3 linked regions of the Mytilus edulis genome follow. The protein of the gene in region 2 interacts with the protein of the main gene of each other region in a pairwise test. Links are inferred from orthologs where the notes say so. Each region holds a gene or a part of one and is shown on either strand. Other genes may lie near its edges. The genes, in order: paired box protein Pax-6-like, general vesicular transport factor p115-like and RING finger protein nhl-1-like.

Region 1 (7,668 bases), on a different chromosome or scaffold from region 2:
ATTTTTTCTTCGCACTTCATCTAATGGGACAAATAGTTTTAACACATGTATCTTTTTCTCTCTGTGTTATTGAGAAAGAGAGAGAGAGAAAAATCTGATCTAATTTAGGAAGTTTTAGATTAGAAACTTTTCCATTATTTTGTGTCTTTCTAAAAATGGACATCTTGTAAAACAGCAGATGGCCTTTGTGACTCAGATAAAAAAATATTTTCTGAGATGATGGAAAAATATAGCACTGATGTTATATATGTACAAATGTTAAAAAATAAATTATATACATATATTTATTCTGTACAAAAAAGTAATAATTGTATACAAAAACTGAAATATGTCGAAAGCTTTCTACTTAAACCTTAATTATAACTAGTTCTACGCTAGCACTTAAAATGAATTATTCCTTAAATAAATGTTTTCATCTTCAAGATATCGCTTTACATTTTAAAATTTAAGTCAATCAATACAGAGTTAAATATTACTTAAGAAAAGTAGACAGATCTTAAAGAAAATATTCATTAATTCTTGTATTCCACGGAGAAGGACGTTATAGTGTTTTCTAAGACTAAAGGATTACTAACTCTAAAATCAATGCAGAGAATCTAAGGCGATATTACCTGGCGGTTAACTGTAGGAAAAGCTATTAATCCAGTTAAATTTAGTTAATAATTAACTAGACTTTTGTCAGTTAATCTGTTCAGATTTAGATGAAGTGGGAATGTATAAACGAATTGAGGAATGACATAAGAGAAGCTTTAAATTCAAGAGGTGTTATGTATATAATCAAACATTTAAAAGATTTATAAAATTATAATAATAAGCATTTGAAATGTAATTTTATTGTGTATTAAACGAATTTTTAGAACAAGTGTTCTTGATAATCTTTAACAGGTACTATCGAATTCAAATGTTATTTTACGTTCTACTTCAAATTTTAACTGAGGAGTTTCATATTGTTTTGTTAATGATTTTTAAGTGTTGAATGTTTGTGAAGAGTATTGAAGCTAAAGATAAATGCTATTGTTAGTTTAACTTAATTTAAAAAAAAATTAATGTAAAAAAAGCAAATTTAACCGAATTATAGAAATGAATGAAAATCATTTGATTTCATATTTTTTAAGAAAAAGATGTTTATATAAAATTATTTTACCATTTTTATTCGCTTCAACATATAAAAATAAAATAAATTTATAATCATTATTTTACAGGCGAGTTAAAAAATATACTTGAAACAGAAATCTTTTTTTGTAATCTGCAAATAATAAAGGAAAGAATATTGTTCCTCACAAAGTAAAAGATTTTTTATTTTTTCAACAATAAAGTCTTTTTTTTAGAAGCGTTCTATTTATATAATTTTTGTAGCAAAATCGAGATATTTCATTATAGAATATTTTTGTGATTTGTATACATATTTGTGTTTCCCTAACTATGATACATGATTTAAGAACTACAAACTGTGTGTGCTAAGCCGTCGGATACTAATACTGCTCCCAGTTAATATTTCTCTAAAATATGGATATGATTATCTTATGATTAATCCAGTTATTTCCGAATACATTACAGATAAAGATTTAATATTTTCCTTCAGGCCGATAATCCGTTTATCTTCAAAAAGCATCATGTGTTTTGAAAATGACAACTGTCAATTTCATGCCTGGTAAATTTCACACAATGTAATAAAATAAAAACAAGCAAAATTTTTATCCATTTTATACTATCAAAAATGTCTGAAGGGTTAAATATTATTAATACATTTTCAATACACGGATTTAAGATTGAGTACACTGGGCGCCGTGAAGGCCCGTTAAATTATTGTGACTTATAAAGTAAAACCTAACTAGCTATTACTCCAGCAATCATAACTCTACAATGAGAGGAAATAATAAATATAGAAATAGATACAGAAAATAAAGTTTACATTTTATATTTGTTATATATTGTGTTTACATAAGGATGTCCATTCCAGAACTTAAGTCGCTGTAGGAAGAACTAGGTACTCACGAATTACATACATAAACTGTCGTTAAATAGTAGGAGAACATGCAACAAAATGTTGAGAAATATCTTTGACCGACTGTTTAAAGATTAGTGTGACATAACTCTATGGTGAATTGGATATATAGATTAAAATATAATCTGTAAAATATATTATTTATTGCATACAATATCCAGTTTACGATGGTATAATTGTTGTTTATTTTTTTTATCTTAGAATCCTTCAAAACCTCAAATCAAAATGTGAAATGTTTTAGATACACGTGTTGGTATGTAACTTGCGTGAAAGTTTATTATTTTATTTTTCTCTCTATTTCCAAAATCAGCATCTTCAATCCGGACTGTTGGTCAGTCTGTTGGTTAAATTGTTAGTTTTTCCTTACATAGACCACAGTCAGAAGAAAAATATATGTCGTATCATCGTAAACAATACAACATCGGTCAGTATGGAATGTTTGTAAAAAAAAACATAAATAATTGTCAAAAATAATTTCCTAATGTCCCACAAATAACTAAAAATTATGCATCCTTTATATGCACGATATAACTTTGAAACGCAGAGAGGAGATGAAAACAAAAAGAATGAGTTATCTAAATGTTAAATGAAAAATGACCAAGTAGAAAGGGGGAGGATGCTATTTTCCAAAATTTTAAACAATTATTACAATTGACTTACCTGAAAATTTTGAAAAATTTTGTAGTTAATTGTCTAGTTTCCACAATGGTTGTCCCATTCACGCATCAATTACAAATTGTGTCCCTCCGCTGAAGATAACTTATTAGATTTTTCACGATTCAGTGATAACGTCTTGTTTGGTAAATTCCTCTGGACAGTTAACACACGTGCATTTAGTTTTCAAAACATAACTAGTAATTGTCAATGGCGACTGCTTACATATGCTTTTAAAATGTTATAAAATGTCTGGGTTAAAATTCCTACTTTTGTCGAGCGAAAAGAAACAGTATATGCGAAGTTACTGCTATATAATGTTATAAATCTGCAATCATTCTTTAACGAATATTTCAGGGCCGATTGCTTTTTCCACTACTTTGGTACGTTATAACGCCTGATTTAAAACTGCCACCTCTGTAGAGAAGTTCTTTTTAGCCATGAATTCACATATTTATTAAATCATGAAAAATAGGTGGAGCTTGAATAATTTCAACCAATCATTTTACGACTTCTACAACTATGTTAAGCTTGAGCAATCAGAAGTGTTTAAATCAAAATAAGATTTATGAAAAGATGAAATTATAAAATATAATATTGCTATCGGATTGAATTATTAAAATACATTATATCCAATTGGGCGGTCTAGTGAGAAAATACAAGATGCTGAGATTGGCTTGCTACGTGATAATGAGAGAATCGAATTTGTAGTAGCCCAATCATAAACATCCATTGCTTTTAAACTTCTTAAATGTATTTTAAACAAAAAACGAAGATTATTTTTGGAATTGATGAATTGATTTTTGGATTAAATAATTTTCTGATCGAATGTAATTAATTTCGTCATTAAATACCTGTAAGTCTTTGATGGTTGTCTTTATTAATTGACGTATTTTTCTTTTGTTTCATCGTTATTTATTATTAAATTGCATGTTTTCGTTGTAAGATTAATATTTTTTTCTTTTTATCAACTTCTATTTTAATTAAAATAATTTGAAACACGTAGACTAATTTATTAATGTGTACGAATTTTCCATCAATTTCATTTTAGTTTCCGATAAACATAAAATAAAAGAAAAGAATTATGAACACAAAATAATGTGTATTTTAAAATTGGAAATTTGGCAGTGACGTACATGTTTTAATATTTATAAACAATACATCAAATATCATCTAGTTTTAAAATTCATTTGAATTTGATAATTGTGCATATATTTATTTGAATATGTTCACACGTCCAAAACGTTTGTGAATTGTATGATATATTATTTTGTGTGATATTGCTGTAATTTGTGCATTTAAAAATATTTTTGTGAGACAAAGTAAATAGAAAACATCATAATATGAAGCTTGTAATTTATATAAAGAAAGAATAAGTGCAAACATATAGATATATTGTTTTAAAAATTTATTCTCTCGCAACATTTTCTTCAACTATTAATAACATTTTATATTTTCGTCGATTTATCGCGCTTAATAAGTCATCATAAGTTCTGAAATGTTTAACAATGATTTATTAATTAACATATCTGTATTGAAAAACTTATTTTTGTTCTTTTATCTAGTCATTATACCGTTTTCCCAAAAGAAATGAGACATAGAATGTGTAACCTCTCAAAGGAAATAAATATAAAAAAGAAATAAATAAACTAGAGGTAAAATAATTAAATCATTAAAAAGCACAATAGCATGAAATAAAATTCTAAATATAGAAAAGCGAAATGAAGTGTTCTACAATCAAACTTTTATATTTTTTGTATTGTCAAGTTTGTCAGAGGAAAGTAAGAATCGGAAACAAACATGGAATGAATTAATTTAGCCTTGATTTTTAAACGTTAAATATTATACATTATAGATAGAACAAGAATTGTTTTTTGGATACCTATGTGTCCTCAGCATAAGGTTTTAATCTAGAGAACTTTATACATATAAATATACTTCATTTTCTATTTTCTTTAACACCAAAAGCGTGCATATTCTTCTATTCAACCAGGAAAATTCTAAAGAAAACACGAATATTATCTGTTTGGAAATTTTACTGCAAACTTGCATTTACTTGGACGTTAGTTTTCTCGTTTGAATTGTTTTACATTTGTAATTTTGGGGAATTATATAGCTGACTATGTAGTATGGGCTTTGCTCATTGTGACCTATAGCTGCTGTTAATTTCTGTGTCATTTGGTCTCTTGTGAAGAGTTATTTCCTTGGCAATCATAACACATCTTCTATTTTATAATTACGAACACACCAACATTAAATTAAAAGAAGAAAAAGAAACAGTTCAACATTATTCATATTCAAGCATTCAGAAGACTTAAATTGGACGGCAGTTTTTATAATAAATTTGTTCAATTCCAAGATATTTGGAACAATTGCTACATACACTGATGCGATAAGATAAGCATTTATTACCAGTATCAAAATGTCTTTAAAGAAACCAATTCGAAGCTTGAGCCACCATTTTCTACATAAGAAAATGCCTGGACCATTTAAGTCAGGAATATGAAAGTTTTTTTTCCATTGGTTTAATGTGTTTGAGCTTTTTGATTCTGCCTTTTGAATAGGGACTTTCCGTTTTGAATATTCCTCGGAGTTCAATATTTTTGTGAATTTATTCTTTTTCAAATTGCAAACTTCTTACCGTTCTCTGAAAGCCAAATAATAAACCTATTCCAAAGTCACCAAAATCTTACCTTTCTATGAAAATGAAAAAAATAAACCTATTCCAAAGTCACTAATTCCTGGACGATTTTTATTTTAAAAATATTATTCCAATGAACAAAAAAGTTGTGAAGTACAATATTAAGAAGTGTGTGTTATATACATCCCTGCATCATCTATATATAAAGTCACACATCTGTAACACAATTACACATGTCACTGCTTTATCTCATATGCTCTGTTTCCATTCAGTTAATTTTCCTCTTATTTTATTCGTTTTTGAGAAGATTGTTTTGCTTATCAATTTTAATTCTTTCAGTTCTCAATTAACTCATTATGCGGAAGAGAAAGAACAGGTGCTTGTAAACTGATGTATATATTTTACATGTTTCGGGAGCTGTTAGAACAAACTATATACTTTGGGGTCATGAGTATGCCATCCAATTATATCAAATGTTTTAAAATATTGGCCGAAAGTTTCCTTTTTGGGAAAGAATAGAACAAATTCTGATTACATCCTTTTATACATGAAAAAATGTTTAAACGACAATGTTAAAGAAGAAACTGGAAGAAAATTTAGAACCAGCGGGGCATAATGAAATAGATTTGTTCATGCCCTATTGACCTTTATGGTTCCTACATTCACCATTATTCAACTCAGACGCAAAAAGGAGAAATTGACATTTCATGATTTAATCAATTTTTGTTCCAATGAAGGGTCTTTATCCCACTAATGCAAAATATGATATATTCAAAATAAACATCCCTGCATTTCAGTATTTTTGTGAATTTATTCTTTTTCAAATTGCAAACTTCTTACCGTTCTCTGAAAGCCAAATAATTAACCTATTCCAGATATAAAATAAGAGGAAAATTAACTGAATGGAAAAAGAGCATATGAGATAAAGCAGTGACATGTGTAATTGTGTTACAGATGTGTGACTTTATATATAGATGATGCAGGGATGTTTATTTTGAATATATCATATTTTGCAGATGATGCAGGGATGTTTATTTCTTTGGGTTTTATCCTTACAATAGTCTTATATATTTTTTTTTAATTCAACTTAAAGTAAAGTCAGATAAAATATAGTTTTATGCTGAATCTGTTAACAGTTTATATAAAAATACAATTACCAATGAAAAACCAAGAAGTCGGTAATTTCCAATGTTGAAGTACCGGATAAACTATACGCCACTAGTTTAATATTATGTCAAAGGGTTTTACATGATACTCCATACTATCATCATCCAGCAATAAATGTTACAATCACGGAATAATAACTGCTCAGGTTTAAAACCATTAAAGAATGCACTTGGAAATGATATTACATACTCAATAATTACTATTACATAGGGTTAAACATTTCGTGAAAAAATATATTTACCATTCCTTACATGTAAGACATCAAACATAACGCTTTATTTAAAGTAAGAAAATGCAAGATAATAAAAATCATAAGCCATATAGAGCTTTGAAACAGACAAAACAAAAGCACAATCCAACAAAGCATACACATACAAACACATGTACACACACAATTACACAGAGGAAGCAAGGGTTCATGGTATGCATGCATACATAAAACACAATAGTTCTATCAAGCAGATTAAACACATATGTATAAGCATGCAATAATGGGGTATAAATACCAAAGCAAGAGTAAAAAGTTTTGCACAGTAGAAAAGCACAAAAAATAGTTCAATAACTCAAATAAGCAAACAAAGCACTATAAGTGGACAGAATATTTGTCTTGCTGAAAACAAAGCACTATAAGTGGACAGAATATTTGTCTTGCTGAAAACAAAGCACTATAAGTGGACAGAATATTTGTCTTGCTGAAAACAAAGCACTATAAGTGGACAGAATATTTGTCTTGCTGAAAACAAAGCATTATAAGTGGACAGAATATTTGTCTTGCTGAAAACAAAGCACTATAAGTGGACAGAATATTTGTCTTGCTGAAAACAAAGCATTATAAGTGGACAGAATATTTGTCTTGCTGAAAACAAAGCACTATAAGTAGACAGAATATTTGTCTTGCTGAAAACAAAGCACTATAAGTGGACAGAATATTTGTCTTGCTGAAAACAAAGCACTATAAGTGGACAGAATATTTGTCTTGCTGAAAACAAAGCACTATAAGTGGACAGAATATTTGTCTTGCTGAAAACAAAGCATTATAAGTGGACAGAATATTTGTCTTGCTGAAAACAAAGCACTATAAGTGGACAGAATATTTGTCTTGCTGAAAACAAAGCATTATAAGTGGACAGAATATTTGTCTTGCTGAAAACAAAGCACTATAAGTGGACAGAATATTTGTCTTGCTGAAAACAAAGCACTA
Region 2 (7,873 bases):
ATTGAACTCTGTCCACTAATCTTTCAACCTAAAAACAATATATTTTTGATTCATTAGTAAGTGTATTTAGAAATATAGTTTTGTGTTTAAAGTGGGTACTAATGGCTTTGTACATTTGTAGTTTAAATCTATATATACAGGGGCGCATTGCATTTGCGCCAATTTTTTAAAAATCCAATCTTTCATTTGCGCCAAACATTAAATACTTCATTTGCGCCATTTTACAGGTAGTAAAGGAAACGAACATTCGTCGCTCTATCGTGAATTGATTAAGATTTGTTTTTACAGTATTACTGAGAGTCACTTAGGTTTGAATTTATATAGTGTTCACATTTTAGATGTGTCAAGATGGACATTGTCAATTCAGAGACAAACCAAGGAAATAAGTCTTATCATATACATGTATGATCTGAAAAATTAAGACAAGTCATTAAGGTGTCCCAAAAAACTTGCAAAGGTTGAATAACTTGTAAAGACAGAATACCAACTGACAACTAAACAATTATCAAAACTTTGAACGAACGCAACCATGGGGTACACCAGCAGAAAGTATAATATCAAAAACGCATTGAAAGGTTTATTTATGGTTTTATGATGACTGATTTCTGAGGAATATGTTTTGACTAACAAGAACTTTATCAACAGGGTTTTTGAAAGATTTTTTTTTTATCAATATCTGTATTAACCTGTATCATGCGTATTTACCTGAAATATTGGCGCAAATGAAAGTTCAATTTTTGGCGCAAATGAAAGATTATTTTGGCGCAAAAGCAAAGCACCGATATACAGCCTTCACAGACTAAGGATGCATTAGTACTTAAAATATTGTATAAGACACCTGTCTATTGATGAACTAGAGGCTCTAAAGAGCCTGTGTCGTTCACCTTGGTCTATGTGCATATTAAACAAAGGACACAGATGGATTCATGAAAAAATTGTGTTTTGGTGATGGTGATGTGTTTGTAGATCTTACTTTACTAAACATTCTTGCTGCTTACAATTATCTCTATCTATAATGAACTTGGCCCAGTAGTTTCAGTGGAAAATGTTAGTGAAAATATACAAATTATATGAAAATTGTTAAAAATTGACTATGAAGGGCAATAACTCCTTAGGAGGTCAATTGACCATTTTGGTCATGTTGACTTATTTTTAGGTCTTACTTTGCTGTACATTATTGCTGTTTACAGTTTATCTCTATCTATAATAATATTCAAGATAATAACCAAAAACAGCAAAATTTCCTTAGGGCAGACAGATCTATCCTCATAATTAATTTTACCCCATATCAGATTTGCTCTAAATGCTTTGGTTTTTGAGTTATAAGCCAAAAACTGCATTTTACCGACGACAAGTTTGCCTTTGATGATTTTTCCCTGCTTAGCTCAATTTTTTTTAATAGTGTTCAATGTTTCATCTCATTAATTCAACAAAGAAACTGATTGCGCAAAGATCTAAGTATTTGGGCAAGGCCTTCAAAAATTGCTCATAACAGACAAATGGGATTTTCATTGTCCATGAAATTACACTTACATTCCGACTTTCAATAGACGACCAATCAGTGACCTGAATTTACATGAACTATATTTAGTCACAGGTAAACACTGATTTGACATCCTTGTTTATCGCGACCGCGACTTTGATGCAATACATTTTAAAAAGATTTTTCTTTTTGAATTTAAATTTTTGTCTGTGAAGTAGCCAGTACTTGGAGTCACGGTAAATTGCTGATTTTTGGTCAGTCAAGAACTTGCTTTCAATTCGCCACCTGGGCTACCACAACTGAGTAAAAAGATCGCCCAGGTCAATTTCTGGTCGCCATTGGCGACTGGACGACCGTTAATTTTTTTCCCTGGGCAGACAATTTAAAATTCTATTAGAGCAAAGAAATCCTAAGAACTTAAGAAAAGAAGAAAGGATAACTTTTGTACCTATATATAGGTAATTAATCGGAATGTCTAAGGGACATAACTAAGCCATATTTTTTTTTACCTATACAAGTAAATAAAATTCACTTGTATAAGTATATTAATATTACTTCTATAAGTAAATAAAAATAACTTGTACAAGTAGTACCCCTGACTGAAAAATATGACGTCATAACAGAAAATAACGTCAAAATGGAAAAGTTATGATTGTTGTAATGACTGTCAGTGTCAGGAATATGTAAATTAAGGAAGAAAACGTTACATGCTATAATAATACACCTTATCGCTATTTGTCTGCCATTACTGAATATCACACGGGTTCCCGTAAAATTTTGACGTCACAAAACAAAATATCTGACGCTACAATGGAAAAGTGATTCAAGCGGCCGGGTCAGCCAGGATTAGCGATAAGGTGTATGTTATCGATCTGTTTTAAGCCCATGTATAAACATGACCCGTCACAAAGTTACACTACAATATAAGAAACAAGTGACATTCCAGCGTTGTGTTCACGCCATATTTAGCATCACAGATTTCCAAAATGAAATAGCGATAAGGGTAAGGTAAGGTGTATGGTACACTCCCCCCCTTTTTCCTCCCTGTGTCAGGGTTGAACCCGAAACCTTCAGTGCAAACTCTAACAGTCCTAACCACTAAGCCATACACTCACGTATATAATTGATACTTAAATATGATATAACAACATATTTTTTTCACAAAATTATTTAGGGGGTTGAGCCGGTAACAGCCGTTTGCAAACAGTTGAAGTACAGGGTGATAGCGTTATTAGACTTTTTCTAAATTTGCTTAAGATATATGTTATTCATTTTCTACTAACAGTATCTGCTCCTGTGGGTTGTACGCCACCCTGTGAAGGACCTAAATATTTTCGAAAATAATCCATTTTGTGATTCGTGGCTTCCGGAGTGTGCGCATGCGTATTAAAACGTGGCAATCTCGCAGTAAATAAATATAATAGTATGTTTTGTTTATAAAGGATTTAATAAACCACTGAACGAATGTTTGTATCGAAAGATACTCTAAAGTGTCTTTGAAATATCTGAAAAAGAATTAATTCGAACTGAATTATCTACTTTCACTTTCTACTATAGAGTGCTGATTTTACTGTTGACAAATTTAGAAATCAACACTATACAGAATAATGATGCATGAAAGATTTACATCCTGTTTTTGAAAGCCGGCTATAATATTTGTGTGACGGTATTATTGAGGTAATATATATATAATCAGTCTTACAGAGAAAGTATATCTGTCTATTAATGGCATTATAAATTTAGAGGCTGCATAGCCATAAAACTACTGAATTTCCAATTTTACTAATTGTGCTAGGGAGGTCAGCTAAATTATGAAGTATAGGGAAATTCATTGGTGCCAAAAATTTTGGAAATAGTCAACTGGTTTTAAAGTTCGGACCATTTTGATTTCCAAAATTGTCGTTTTTGTGAAACCTGTGACTTTTGTCGCAGAAAGCTAGACATGGATAGTGATCCGTCAGCGGCTACTACGGCATTAGCTTACTTCTCAAAAGCTTTATATTTTAGAAGGTGAAAGACCTAGATGCTTCATACTTTGTATATAGATGCCTCAGAATACGAAGTTTCTGTCTGTCACATGTCTATTGTCCTTGACCTCATTTTCATGATTCAGTGACTACTTGAAAAAATGTTTTTGTAATGTTAAGTTTTCTCTTATTATGAGTAATAGGATAACTATATTTGGTATGTATGTACCTTGCAAGGTTGTCAGTCCATACAGACAGTTTTCACTTGACCTCAAACCTCATTTCATGGATCAAGGTTAAGTTTTGGTGGTCAAGTCCATATCATATAGGTGTAGTATATTCAGTGTATCTGACCTTGACCTCATTTTCATGGTTCAGTGGTTATAGTTAAGTTTTTGTGTCTTGGTCTGTTTTTCTTGTACTGTGTCCTGTATGCAATAGATCTAATACATTTGGTGTATGGAATGATTATACATGTTAAGTGAACATGTCTAGCTGGCAGGTGTCATCTGACCTTCATGACCTTGAACTCATTTCCATGGTTCAGTTGTCAAAGTTCAGTTTTTGAGTTTTTTTATACTGTATGCTATACATAGGTCAACTATATTTGGTGTATTTCTTGTGGATCTGATATCAAGAAAATTCCTTTCATTCAGTAACAGTTGATAATAACTTTATTTTTCAGTATTTTTTAATGTTTTGAAAACTTATTACTTGATCACATTGTAAACTATGTTACTTTTCAGCACTAAACTTCCAAAGCTAGTGTTTAAATATTCTTCTTGTATTAAAATCTAGCAATTATACTCTCATTGTTCATCCCCATCTTTAGTTATCATTATTAATATAATAGTATATATCACTAGTAAGTTATTTCACTCTTAACCACAGTTATTCAGCATATCTCCATATATATATATATATAGCAAATAATAACCTATACAATTGGTAGTATGGAGAGTTGTCTTCAGCAGGACTGGTAGCAGCTTTAACATTCATACAGGCATCAGCAGCAGCAACATTACTCATTATTTACAGCTTAAAATATATAATGTATGTCTGATAGCATTTTCTTTCATTAGAAATACACAACAGGTGAGACATTTGTGTGTGTCCACTTTTATTTGCAAAGGCTCAAATATCATATTTTTGGCAATTTTTTAGACCAAATAATACTATTGGGTTAGGAACAGCAAGATATCTATCTGCTTTATTGCAAGAACACTCTGTTATGCTTTGATTTAAGCCACTCCAGTCCTAAGTAACATCAATATCTACAACATCTCAAACTTAAAAAAAAAAAATTCAAAGAAGCGATTGAAAATTTGGAAGGAATTAGTTTTTCATACAATTACTATTGGCAATATTTTTCTTTCAAAAACTGTGAAAAAAAATTAATAAGATTTTCAAATATGACTCTTAAAACTATTTGTTATTAAATTATGAATAGAAATGTTGGTCATATTTGGCAAAAATGTTGATAGACACTAGATGGATAAAACCAGAGAATCCAGAATATATAGAAGTAGATACATTTGAACCTAGTCATTTGAACTGTGACGCCTTGCTCAGTTAATTTACAATAGCAGGTTATTGTTTTATTGATCAGGTTAAAGGCAACTTTCCCATCATTGGCTTTAAGTTTCATGGTTTTGTGTTGCACAGACAACATGTAGATAATAGCCAATTAAACAATTATAGGTCAAAGTATGGCCTTCAAGACGGAGCCTTGGCACACACAGAACAGCAAGCTATAAAGGCCCCAAAAATGACTGGTACAAAACCATTCAAACCGTAAAACCATTCTATATAGAAACAAGAAACACTGACTAATGAACCACATCAACAAACGAAAACCACCGAACATCAGATTATGTTGTTCTATAATGATTTGTGGATATTGCAACATAAGGTGTTTATTTTCACTTACTTGTTCATTTTTTGAAACTGACAACAGTCAACAAATTTGAAATAAAATACTTGCTTTCAGAAATAAGCTGATTAATTTATCATGTTTATCATGTTTATGCTTATAAATTGTCTCGATTGATGGAAATTGCAAAAATAAAGTAAACATTTGAACTGTTGCACAGTGTAATCATGGTAATCAGAAGTGATTACACTAATTACCCTGAAATCAAGTGATCAACAGACTAAAGACCATCAATGGGGTTAATTTGGCCTTAGGAATGACACTCTAAGAAAACTGTGCATAAACAAATGCTATAGACATGTATAGAAGTACATGTACCTTGAATTGTAAAATTAATTCTGATCAAAAGCAAGCCCATGCAATATAATATTAAAATTTTCTGTATGAGAATTATGAGGATATAAATGATCATATTCATCATAGCATATATTCACTGGAAATCTGACTGTTATTGTTCAAAATATTTAAAAAAAAATTAAATTAAAAGATTAAAATTCGTTCAGTTTAGGTTTTTAAAGGGGAAGTCTAGCTACAAGATTTATTAAAAATCTAATATATTATTTTAAGCAGCCAGTATGGTTCAATTTTGTCAAAATAAGCTAAAAAACATTGATTATGGGTTATTCACTTGCAAGTGAATAATTCGACCTCATTGAATACGTATTCATGTGAACTTCAATATAACCCCTTTGCTTGAGATGGATAACACGTGAATTGTATGTGTAAAGTTCTTTAAAGAAGAAGAATGTCAACATATAAAGTGAAACAAAGGTAAATCATTTGATTGGATGATTCGATCCACAAAAAATCATTCTTATACAGGTAAAAACGATGATTGAAACATTTATTTTTCATTTTTATTATGAAATTAAATAGACCTAGAAAAATCCAAGTTTACTCAATCTATTTATATCTATATTTATGTTTAAATTGCTTATATGGTCATCGGATGACTTCAGAGGTCAACTCAATAGTTAATTAGGTGGTGTCTAGACCAAAATACACACAAAGCGAAGCTACATATTTTCATGCCTGTGCCCTGCTTATTGTTTATTTTACACTTTTAATAGTTTGGATAAATCTTTTACATTGTTATAAATCAAATATGATAATTTGATTAAGATCTGTGAACATGAATTTGACAGCTAGTGCCCCTTTAAAGCTTAAATGGGTACAATCCTGCATGCAGTTGTCGATCATAGTGCATTTGCTGATATTTGAAGTCTTCTTTAGATTATATGGCATGACTATATCTATGTTGTAAAACCTACATGTATGGGTATCTTTTCATGTCTTGATTTGGACAACAGTTGTGTTGCTATATTTCCTTGGACACTTGTTGATCCACGAAAACAATGAAAAAAAAGATTTATGCAAAAATAAAACAAATTGTTGGTGCTTGTTTAAAAGTTTATTTTCCATTGAGAGTTTGTTTAAGCCCAGGTACCATCCATATATTTAGTGTTTACAACTACCTTTATCTATTGTTAGACATCTGATCACTGTTTTATTGATGTACTGAATTTGATCAAAATTTAAACATTATGGTAATTAGTGTTATCTTCTTTAGGTCTTTAATAGACAGTAGGCCTTAGGGTTAATAACCTGCTTCAAAGAATTTTGTATACATGTTTGTATTTTATGGGTTAAATATATATGCAAAAAGAAGAAAGATTTCATCTTATCTCTTTTCTACCATAATCATTGTCAAGTACAGTGGAATTAGGAAGAAAAGACAGATATTTATTTTTTAAAAGGTAAATAAAGTACATGACATACTTGTGGAAAATCGTCGTCCGAAGACATTTGGTTTTCACCCTATAACTTTAGTAAAAGTAAATAGAAATCCATGAAATTTAAACACAAGGTTTATGACCATAAAAGGAAGGTTGGGATTTATTTTGGGAGTTTTGGTCCCAACAGTTTAGGAATAAGGGGCCAAAAAGGGCCCAAATAAGCATTTTTTTTGGTTTTCGCACCTTGGTGAATAACTTTAGTATTAGTAAACAGAAATCTATGAAATTTTAATAAAAGGTTTATGAATACAAAAGGAAGGTTGGGATTGATTTTGGGAGTTTTGGTCCCGACAGTTTAGGAATTAGGGCCAAAAAAGGGACCCAAATAAGCATTTTCTTGGTTTTTGCACTCTAACTTTAGTATAAGTAAATAGAAATCTATGAAATTTTAACACAAGGTTTATGACCACAAAAGGAAGGTTGGGATTGATTTTGATAGTTTTGGTCCCAACAGTTTAGGAATAAGGGTCCAAAATTAAACTTAGTTTGATTTTAACAAAAATTGAATGGTGAATCTTAACACTTAGATTTTTGATTATGGGCCCAGTTTTCAAGTTGGTCCAAACCGGGGTTCAAAATTAAACTTTGTTTAATTTCAACAAAAATTGAATATATGGGGTTCTGCAATATGGTGAATCTAACCATGTATTTAGATTTTTAATATTTGGGCTCTGTTATCAAATTGGTCCACATT
Region 3 (7,744 bases), on a different chromosome or scaffold from region 2:
GACCTAGTTCTGACGATTTTTCATTTATAACCTTTTAAATTTTTTTATCAAATCATGTAGATAAACTAATTTCTTATAATTTTAATCTTTTGGACTAAATCAATGAGCTACAAACCGCTGAAATGTAAGAAAATAATTTTGAATAGACCAATCAATTTATACGATGTCCGGTACTGAACATAGTTTACCTGTCAACTGAACAGGTAGATATCACCTGTCCAACAACTAATTAGCCTTGATTAAAATTAGAAAGTATTGCAGTAGGGGTTGTTTTGATAGTAATTAATCATCATGTCACTTTTATGACCGGAAATGTGTAGATGTTAAAGGCAAAAGCTTGGGGCCCCAAAGGTTGGGTCAAAAAGATCGTGACTTATGTTAAAATGACCGAAAAAGCCTTGAAAACTAAAATGTATATGACCGTTTCATGCTTTGCCCAGCCGGACTTTTATCGGACATTAACCAAATGTCCGGAATATATGACCGTTTTGGAAGCTCTGCCCCAATTATTCAATTTTTGATGAAATCAAACAAAGTTCAATTTTGGACCCTTTGGGCCCCTTATTCCTAAACTGTTGGGACCAAAACTCCCAAAATCAAACCCAACCTTCCTTTTATGGTTATAAACCTTGTGTTTAAATTTCATAGATTTCTATTTACTTATACTAAAGTTATGGTGCGAAAACCAAAAATAATGCTTATTTCGACCCCTTTTTGGCCCCTAATTCCTTAACTGTTGTGACCTCAACTCCCAAAATCAATCCCAACCTTCCTTTTGTGGTCATAAACCTTGTTTTTAAATGTCATTGATTTCTATTTACTTATACTAAAGTTATTGTGCCAAAACCAAGAATAATGCTTATTTGGGCCCTTTTTTGGCCCTTAATTCCTAAACTGTTAAAACCAAAACTCCCAAAATCAATCCCAACCTTCCTTTTGTGGTCATAAACCTTTTGTCATAATTTCATAGATTTCTATTCACTTGAACTAAAGTTATAGTGCGAAAACCAAGAAAATGCTTATTTGGGCCCTTTTTGGCCCCTAATTCCTAAAATGTTGGGACCAAAACTCCCAAAATCAATCCCAACCTTCCTTTTGTGGTCATAAACCTTGTGTTAAAATTTCATCGATTTCTATTCACTTTCACTAAAGTTGGAGTGCGAAAACTGAAAGTATTTGGACGACGACGACGCCAACGTGATACTAATATACAACGAAAATTTTTCATTTTTGCGGTCGTATAAAAAATAAGTCCAGATCTTAAATTTTTAACCAGTTATGCCCCTAGGAAATATAATTATAATGGAAATCCCATTGCAATAGCTCTGAAGCTTTTAATTCTCATGAGATATAAATAACACCGTGTATCATCGTACAGCGGATATAGGTACTAACCAAGCGGGCGTGAGTGATTTTGATCTTACACGGTAACGAAAATCTTTGTTTTGTTCACATAATATCAATGTGTACTTCAATCTAAACATAATTGCTATTTTAAGAAATGATTTGGTCGTAGGTTGATGGTTAGAGATCTGTCTCATTATTTTCCCAAAACAAGAGGGATTACTAAAACATTGTAAATGCATGTGCAAATACTTGTCAAAGAAGTTGGCCCTCATCTCATCCGATATAATTCTATATTCATTGCAACTCTTTTTCTGATAGAAGGTCAATGTGTGTGTGTAATAAGTATAGCTGTTTCAATAATTGGCATTGAAATCTTTCATATATATGTTATTTTTCGATATTTTATCCCTAAAAAAGTGTTGTGTACGGTGTTTAGCTGACCACATAAATCCTAATGTACGGTGCATAGTTATGTTGTTGTACACCGTACACAAAAACATTATTTTTATACTCGTTTATTACCCAAAATGTTTCAAGGAATGAGTAATCACAGGTAGGTTTATGATTGGTGACTGTTACTTTTGCCCTGTATTAGGTTTCTTTCAGATAAAACATGTAAATGTCTCAACAACTGTATCGAAATTGAAAGTTGGTGTTGACATTCACAACTATTTCCGCTTGTACAAGTTAATTGTTCTTATTAGAATATCAAATTTGTTTTATGAATAGGAAAAAATCGATGCAAAAATTATTTGGGAGCAGGAATTTCAAATGTTGAGAAATGTACATTGAATATTGATCAAGCAAAACAAAGATTTTCGTTACCGTGTAAGGTCAAAATTGATCATGCCCGCTTGCTTAGTACCTATATCCGGTGTACTGATGATACACGGTGAATAAAAAGGTTTCAGATCAAACATGTCTGCGTATCATCATCCTCTACGCTTGCCGTAGACGCGCTATGACATAAAACTTTTAACGAAAAAATGTCAAAAACACTTTTCTGCGATTTATCCATCTTGTTTACATATAAACCTATATGATCCTAAATGAAAGTCAAAGACCACCCATACTTCTTCGGAAATGATAAGATGCTATTCTTATATCATCACCCGTGTTACATTTGGATAACTCTGTGTGTTTCTGCTACGAACACATGCAGTTATATATACTTTTTGGGGGGATCAAAATGAGTTGAATGCTTAACCCTTTCGCCGATGAGTCCCGGTTTACCGGGATTCACGCTTCAGACAGCTGACGATGAGTCCCGTTTTACCGGGATCGGAATACCTCTTTTATATTTCCCGCTCAAAACAGTGCAAACATGAGTTATCTTTCTTTGATGAATACCCGGATGAAAGTGTAAACATGGCGATTCCGTTTGTTGAAAACCGTGTCAAAATCAGAGGAAATTTACGGAATTTACGAGAATTTGAAATGAGGGAACATTTTTTTTTGAAAGAATATGGAAGAATTGAAGCCAAACTAGTATACTTTTTTGACATAAAATGTCGTTTTATGTACAAAACACTTGGAATGGACATCGTTCAGTGTGAGGAATTTGTACAGCGTCGTTAAATTTTTCAAAATTTTGCCGTTTTGGGCTAAAAAATTACGATTTGGGGTCAAAGAGCAGAATTTTAAGAATTTCACCTCAATAATGCCGAAAATTTGAAAATTTGAATATTTTATGAAGAAAAAATTATCAAAACATGAACAAAACTGTGAACATAGTGTTAGTGAAAGAAATAAATACATAAATAACTACAAACAAGTTTTTATTGACATTTATTATGAAGATCTCCCACTTAAGTTATAGTAGCCAGGGAAGCCATCGTCTCAGAGTAGCTTCAGTCTGGGCAGCAATCGGTGAAAGGGTTAAGCATCTTAGCATAAATGCAAGCTACACCACCGCTCTTCTGTTTGAATAGAGTTCTACAGGTACAGCAAAACTTGTTATGACATATAAACGTGTATGTTGCCTGCTTGGCGCAAAGGAATATCACCAATGTTTCTTATAGTGTTAAGATTTTGATGTAAATTTAAAACTGAAAATTATAAATCAAGGAAAGGAAAATAATACACTGTTATAGCTGTTTAAATTTATTTATATGCAGTTCCTTTTGGTAAATTACGGCAGTAAATATATCCATAACTGTAGAATTCTTAATTATTTAATGAAAAAATATAAGGCCTCTGCAATAAGTTTTTCTCAACTTGCCCAATTGGACAAGTAGATTTCAAAACTTACTTGCCGAAAGTAAAAATGTCAAATTGATATTTGTTTTTATCTTCTTTCCATGATTTTTGTTTATTAAATGTACTTTGATAATCAAATTTGAAGTAGATTTATTTTCTACAGAATGATTTACTTGTCCTGCTGGACAAGATTGATATGGCTTTTACCTTTTTCCATCTGGTACAGACAATCAGACAAGCGCTATGCCGAGCCCTGAATATCATCAAGATAACAGTATAAGAGTTGTTGAATATCAATTAAATGGTTTTTAGTCAGGTGTTTACTGAGTTTGGCCATAAAATGTGATTCATAACAATACAGGAATAAGTCTGCTATTTCAAGGAGCACAAATGGTGCCCACACTACACAGGAATACCTACATGTACAACTTTTTCTCAAAACAAACTTCTGTCAAACCAGTTATTGCATATGAACGAAACGAAAAAGGAGGGCTGAACAAACTGTGGCCAAGACCACCTGTGGATGAACTGGATGTATGGCCAAAACGACTCAAAATGCATTCCAGGGCCATTTCAGACGCCACCCTTTGGCGACTTCGGTCAGGAATTTTATTTTTTTGTATTAAATTTATCAACTCACTACACTCGTCAGTATATATTCTGTTTTCTGCAGTACACCCTCATTAATTAATCTGGTTGTCAACCTGCAAATGCAAATGCCTGATAATTTACAAGCCATATTTCCAGATAATGTTATGTCAGTTGTTAGGGCTGTAGACAACGTGAACGTTTTGGTTTCTATATAAAGGTAAGGCTTTGTATGTTCTATAGCTCTTGCATATTTGTAAATTTTACTATTTTACGCTGATTTGCACATATATTACATGCACAAAATAATGTGTGCCAGCTTACCAAAGAAAGTTTGTACCCTCGCACCTCACGTCTTTGTAAATCAGTGTATTTATGACGCTTTAAACAACAGAAATTTATAATATATCATTAAGCGTTCAATTGATTCAGAAAAAAAATAATAATTTTGCAACACTAAAAATTAACATTTTCAAGAAAAATTTAACTTTTTTATTATTTCTTAAACATGCAAAAAAAAAATAAAAGCATTTTTATTTATTTATTTTATCAAAGAATTTCTTCCAAAAGTCGTAAAATTTATTTACGGTACCGATTGCAACCAATGTAAACAAACAGGATCCATATGGCATGCTATGTGAGGACATTTAACAGTTCACTGAGGAAGATGACAGTTCATTTACAAATAGTAAAATACTGGTAAATGTGTTTTCATAAGTGTTTGTGGAAAATGGATGTATACGTTTCCATATTTCAAAAAGTAAATCTACTAAATAGTATATAAAAATGAAAGATGAAGGGATACTATCACAGCAACTCAATAACACAATCAACCAGATGGCATATTTTAATTAGTCTACTGTCCCACACACTTTCCAACTATGCAAACTGCATACCTTTAATGTTATGAGGTTGATTGCTTCTATACCTAATGAGCTCCTGTAGTAATGCTCTTTATATACTGTCAGGCATCAAAGGTTCATTTTCAGCATCAAATTGGTTAAAATTTAAAATTTTACCTTGCTGTAAGAAAAATATTCTTAACATGATTTGTCATACGTCTCATATGTGTATCCTGACTGTCGTTTTTGAGAGAAAAAAATAACACTACATGTATTTCGTCAAAATTGGTTAATTTATTTATCATCTAAAAAGAAAGTCAACATTTTATCATCAAATTACTTATTACTAGCCTAAATTGCATGACAGTTCATCTCTATAAAATTTAACCACATCTACTTATTTTGGCCTAGATATCTTGACATTTAATCTCTACAAAAATAATCATATCTACTTATTTTGGCCTAGATATCTTGACATTTAATCTCTACAAAAATAATCATATCTACTTATTTTGGCCTAGATATCTTGACATTTACTGTAGTCTCAACAAAAATGAACCACATCAATCTACCTTTTATGACCTAGATACCTTGACATTAAATCTCCATAAAATGAACCACATTTACTTATTATGACCTAGATATTATAACATTTAATCTCCACAAAAAATAACCACATCAACTTATATTTTTGCCCTAGATATCATGACATTTAATTTCTACAAGAATTAATCACATCTACTTAATTTGGCCTAGATATCTTGACATTCAATCTCCACAAAAATGAATCACATCTACTTAATTTGGCCTAGATATCTTGACATTTTATCTCCACAAAAACGAATCACATCTACTTATTTTAACTTAGGTATCTTGACATTTTATTTCAACAAAAATGAACACCATCTACTTATTTTGGCCTAGATATCTTGACATTTAATCTCAACAAAAATAAACATCATCAACTTATTTTGGCCTAGATATCATGACCTTTAGCTCCACAAAAATGAACACCATCAATTTATTTTGGCCTAGATATCATGACTTTTGATCTCTGCAAAATGAATAACATCTACTTATTTTGGCCTAGATATCTTGACATTTTTTTATCTCTACAAAAATGAGCACCATCTACTTATTTTGGCCTAGGTATCTTGACATTTTATTTCAACAAAAATAGACCACATCTTCTTATTTTGGCCTAGATATCTTGACATTTAATCTCTACAAAAATAAACATCATCTACTTATTTTGGCCTAGATATCATGACCTTTAGCTCCACAACAATGAACCACATCTACTTATTTTGGCCTAGATATCTTGACATTTAATCTCAACAAAAATAATCATATCTACTTATTTTGGCCTAGATATCTTGACATTTTATTTCAACAAAAATAAACATCATCAACTTATTTTGGCCTAGATATCATGACATTTTTTTTATCTCTACAAAAATGAACACCATCAATTTATTTTGGCCTAGATATCATGACTTTTGATCTCTGCAAAATGAATAACATCTACTTATTTTGGCCTAGATATCTTGACATTTTTTTATCTCTACAAAAATGAGCACCATCTACTTATTTTGGCCTAGATACCTTGACATTTAATCTCAACAAAAATAAACATCATCAACTTATTTTGGCCTAGACATCATGACATTTAGCTCCACAAAAATGAACACCATCAACTTATTTTGGCCTAGATATCATGACATTTAATCTCCACAAAAACGAATCACATCTACTTATTTTAACCTAGATATCTTGACATTTTATTTCAACAAAAATAGACCACATCTTCTTATTTTGGCCTAGATATCTTGACATTTAATCTCTACAAAAATGAACACCATCTACTTATTTTGGCCTAGATATCATGACATTTAATCTCTACAAAACTTTATCACATCTACTTATTTTGGCCTAGATATCTTGACATTTTTTTTATCTCTACAAAAATGAACACCATCAACTTATTTTGGCCTAGATATCATGACTTTTGATCTCTGCAAAATGAATAACATCTACTTATTTTGGCCTAGATATCTTGACATTTTTTTTATCTCTACAAAAATGAACACCATCAATTTATTTTGGCCTAGATATCATGACTTTTGATCTCTGCAAAATGAACACCATCTACTTATTTTGGCCTAGATATCATGACATTTAATTTCTACAAGAATTAATCACATCTACTTAATTTGGCCTAGATATCTTGACATTTAGTCTCAACAAAAATGAAGCACATCTAATTATTTTGGCCTAGATATCTTGACATTTTATTTCAACAAAAATAGACCACATTTCCTTATTTTGGCCTAGATATCTTGACATTTAATCTCTACAAAAATGAACACCATCAATTTATTTTGGCCTAGATATCATGACTTTTGATCTCTGCAAAATGAATAACATCTACTTATTTTGGCCTAGATATCTTGACATTTTTTTATCTCTACAAAAATGAGCACCATCTACTTATTTTGGCATAGATACCTTGACATTTAATCTCAACAAAAATAAACATCATCAACTTATTTTGGCCTAGATACCTTGACATTTAATCTCAACAAAAATAAACATCATCAACTTATTTTGGCCTAGACATCATGACATTTAGCTCCACAAAAATGAACACCATCAACTTATTTTGGCCTAGATATCATGACATTTAATCTCCACAACAATGAACCACATCTACTTATTTTGGCCTAGATATCATGAAATTTAATCTCCACAAAAACGAATCACATCTA

What was found.
Region 1: the proteins of general vesicular transport factor p115-like (region 2) and paired box protein Pax-6-like interact in a two-hybrid assay, tested with the Caenorhabditis elegans proteins (2 studies listed by BioGRID). The link is inferred for Mytilus edulis from reciprocal best matches to the Caenorhabditis elegans genes uso-1 and vab-3.
Region 3: the proteins of general vesicular transport factor p115-like (region 2) and RING finger protein nhl-1-like interact in a two-hybrid assay, tested with the Caenorhabditis elegans proteins (2 studies listed by BioGRID). The link is inferred for Mytilus edulis from reciprocal best matches to the Caenorhabditis elegans genes uso-1 and nhl-1.

The regions. Positions count from the first base shown.
Region 1 is NC_092350.1:1,506,043-1,513,710, forward strand, and holds the start of paired box protein Pax-6-like, read right to left. Parts: upstream 3,116-7,668; 5' UTR 2,666-3,115; intron 1-2,665.
Region 2 is NC_092352.1:26,332,701-26,340,573, reverse strand, and holds the start of general vesicular transport factor p115-like, read right to left. Parts: upstream 3,034-7,873; 5' UTR 2,833-3,033; coding exon 2,767-2,832; intron 29-2,766; coding exon 1-28.
Region 3 is NC_092345.1:98,902,678-98,910,421, forward strand, and holds the start of RING finger protein nhl-1-like, read left to right. Parts: upstream 1-4,727; 5' UTR 4,728-4,833; intron 4,834-7,744.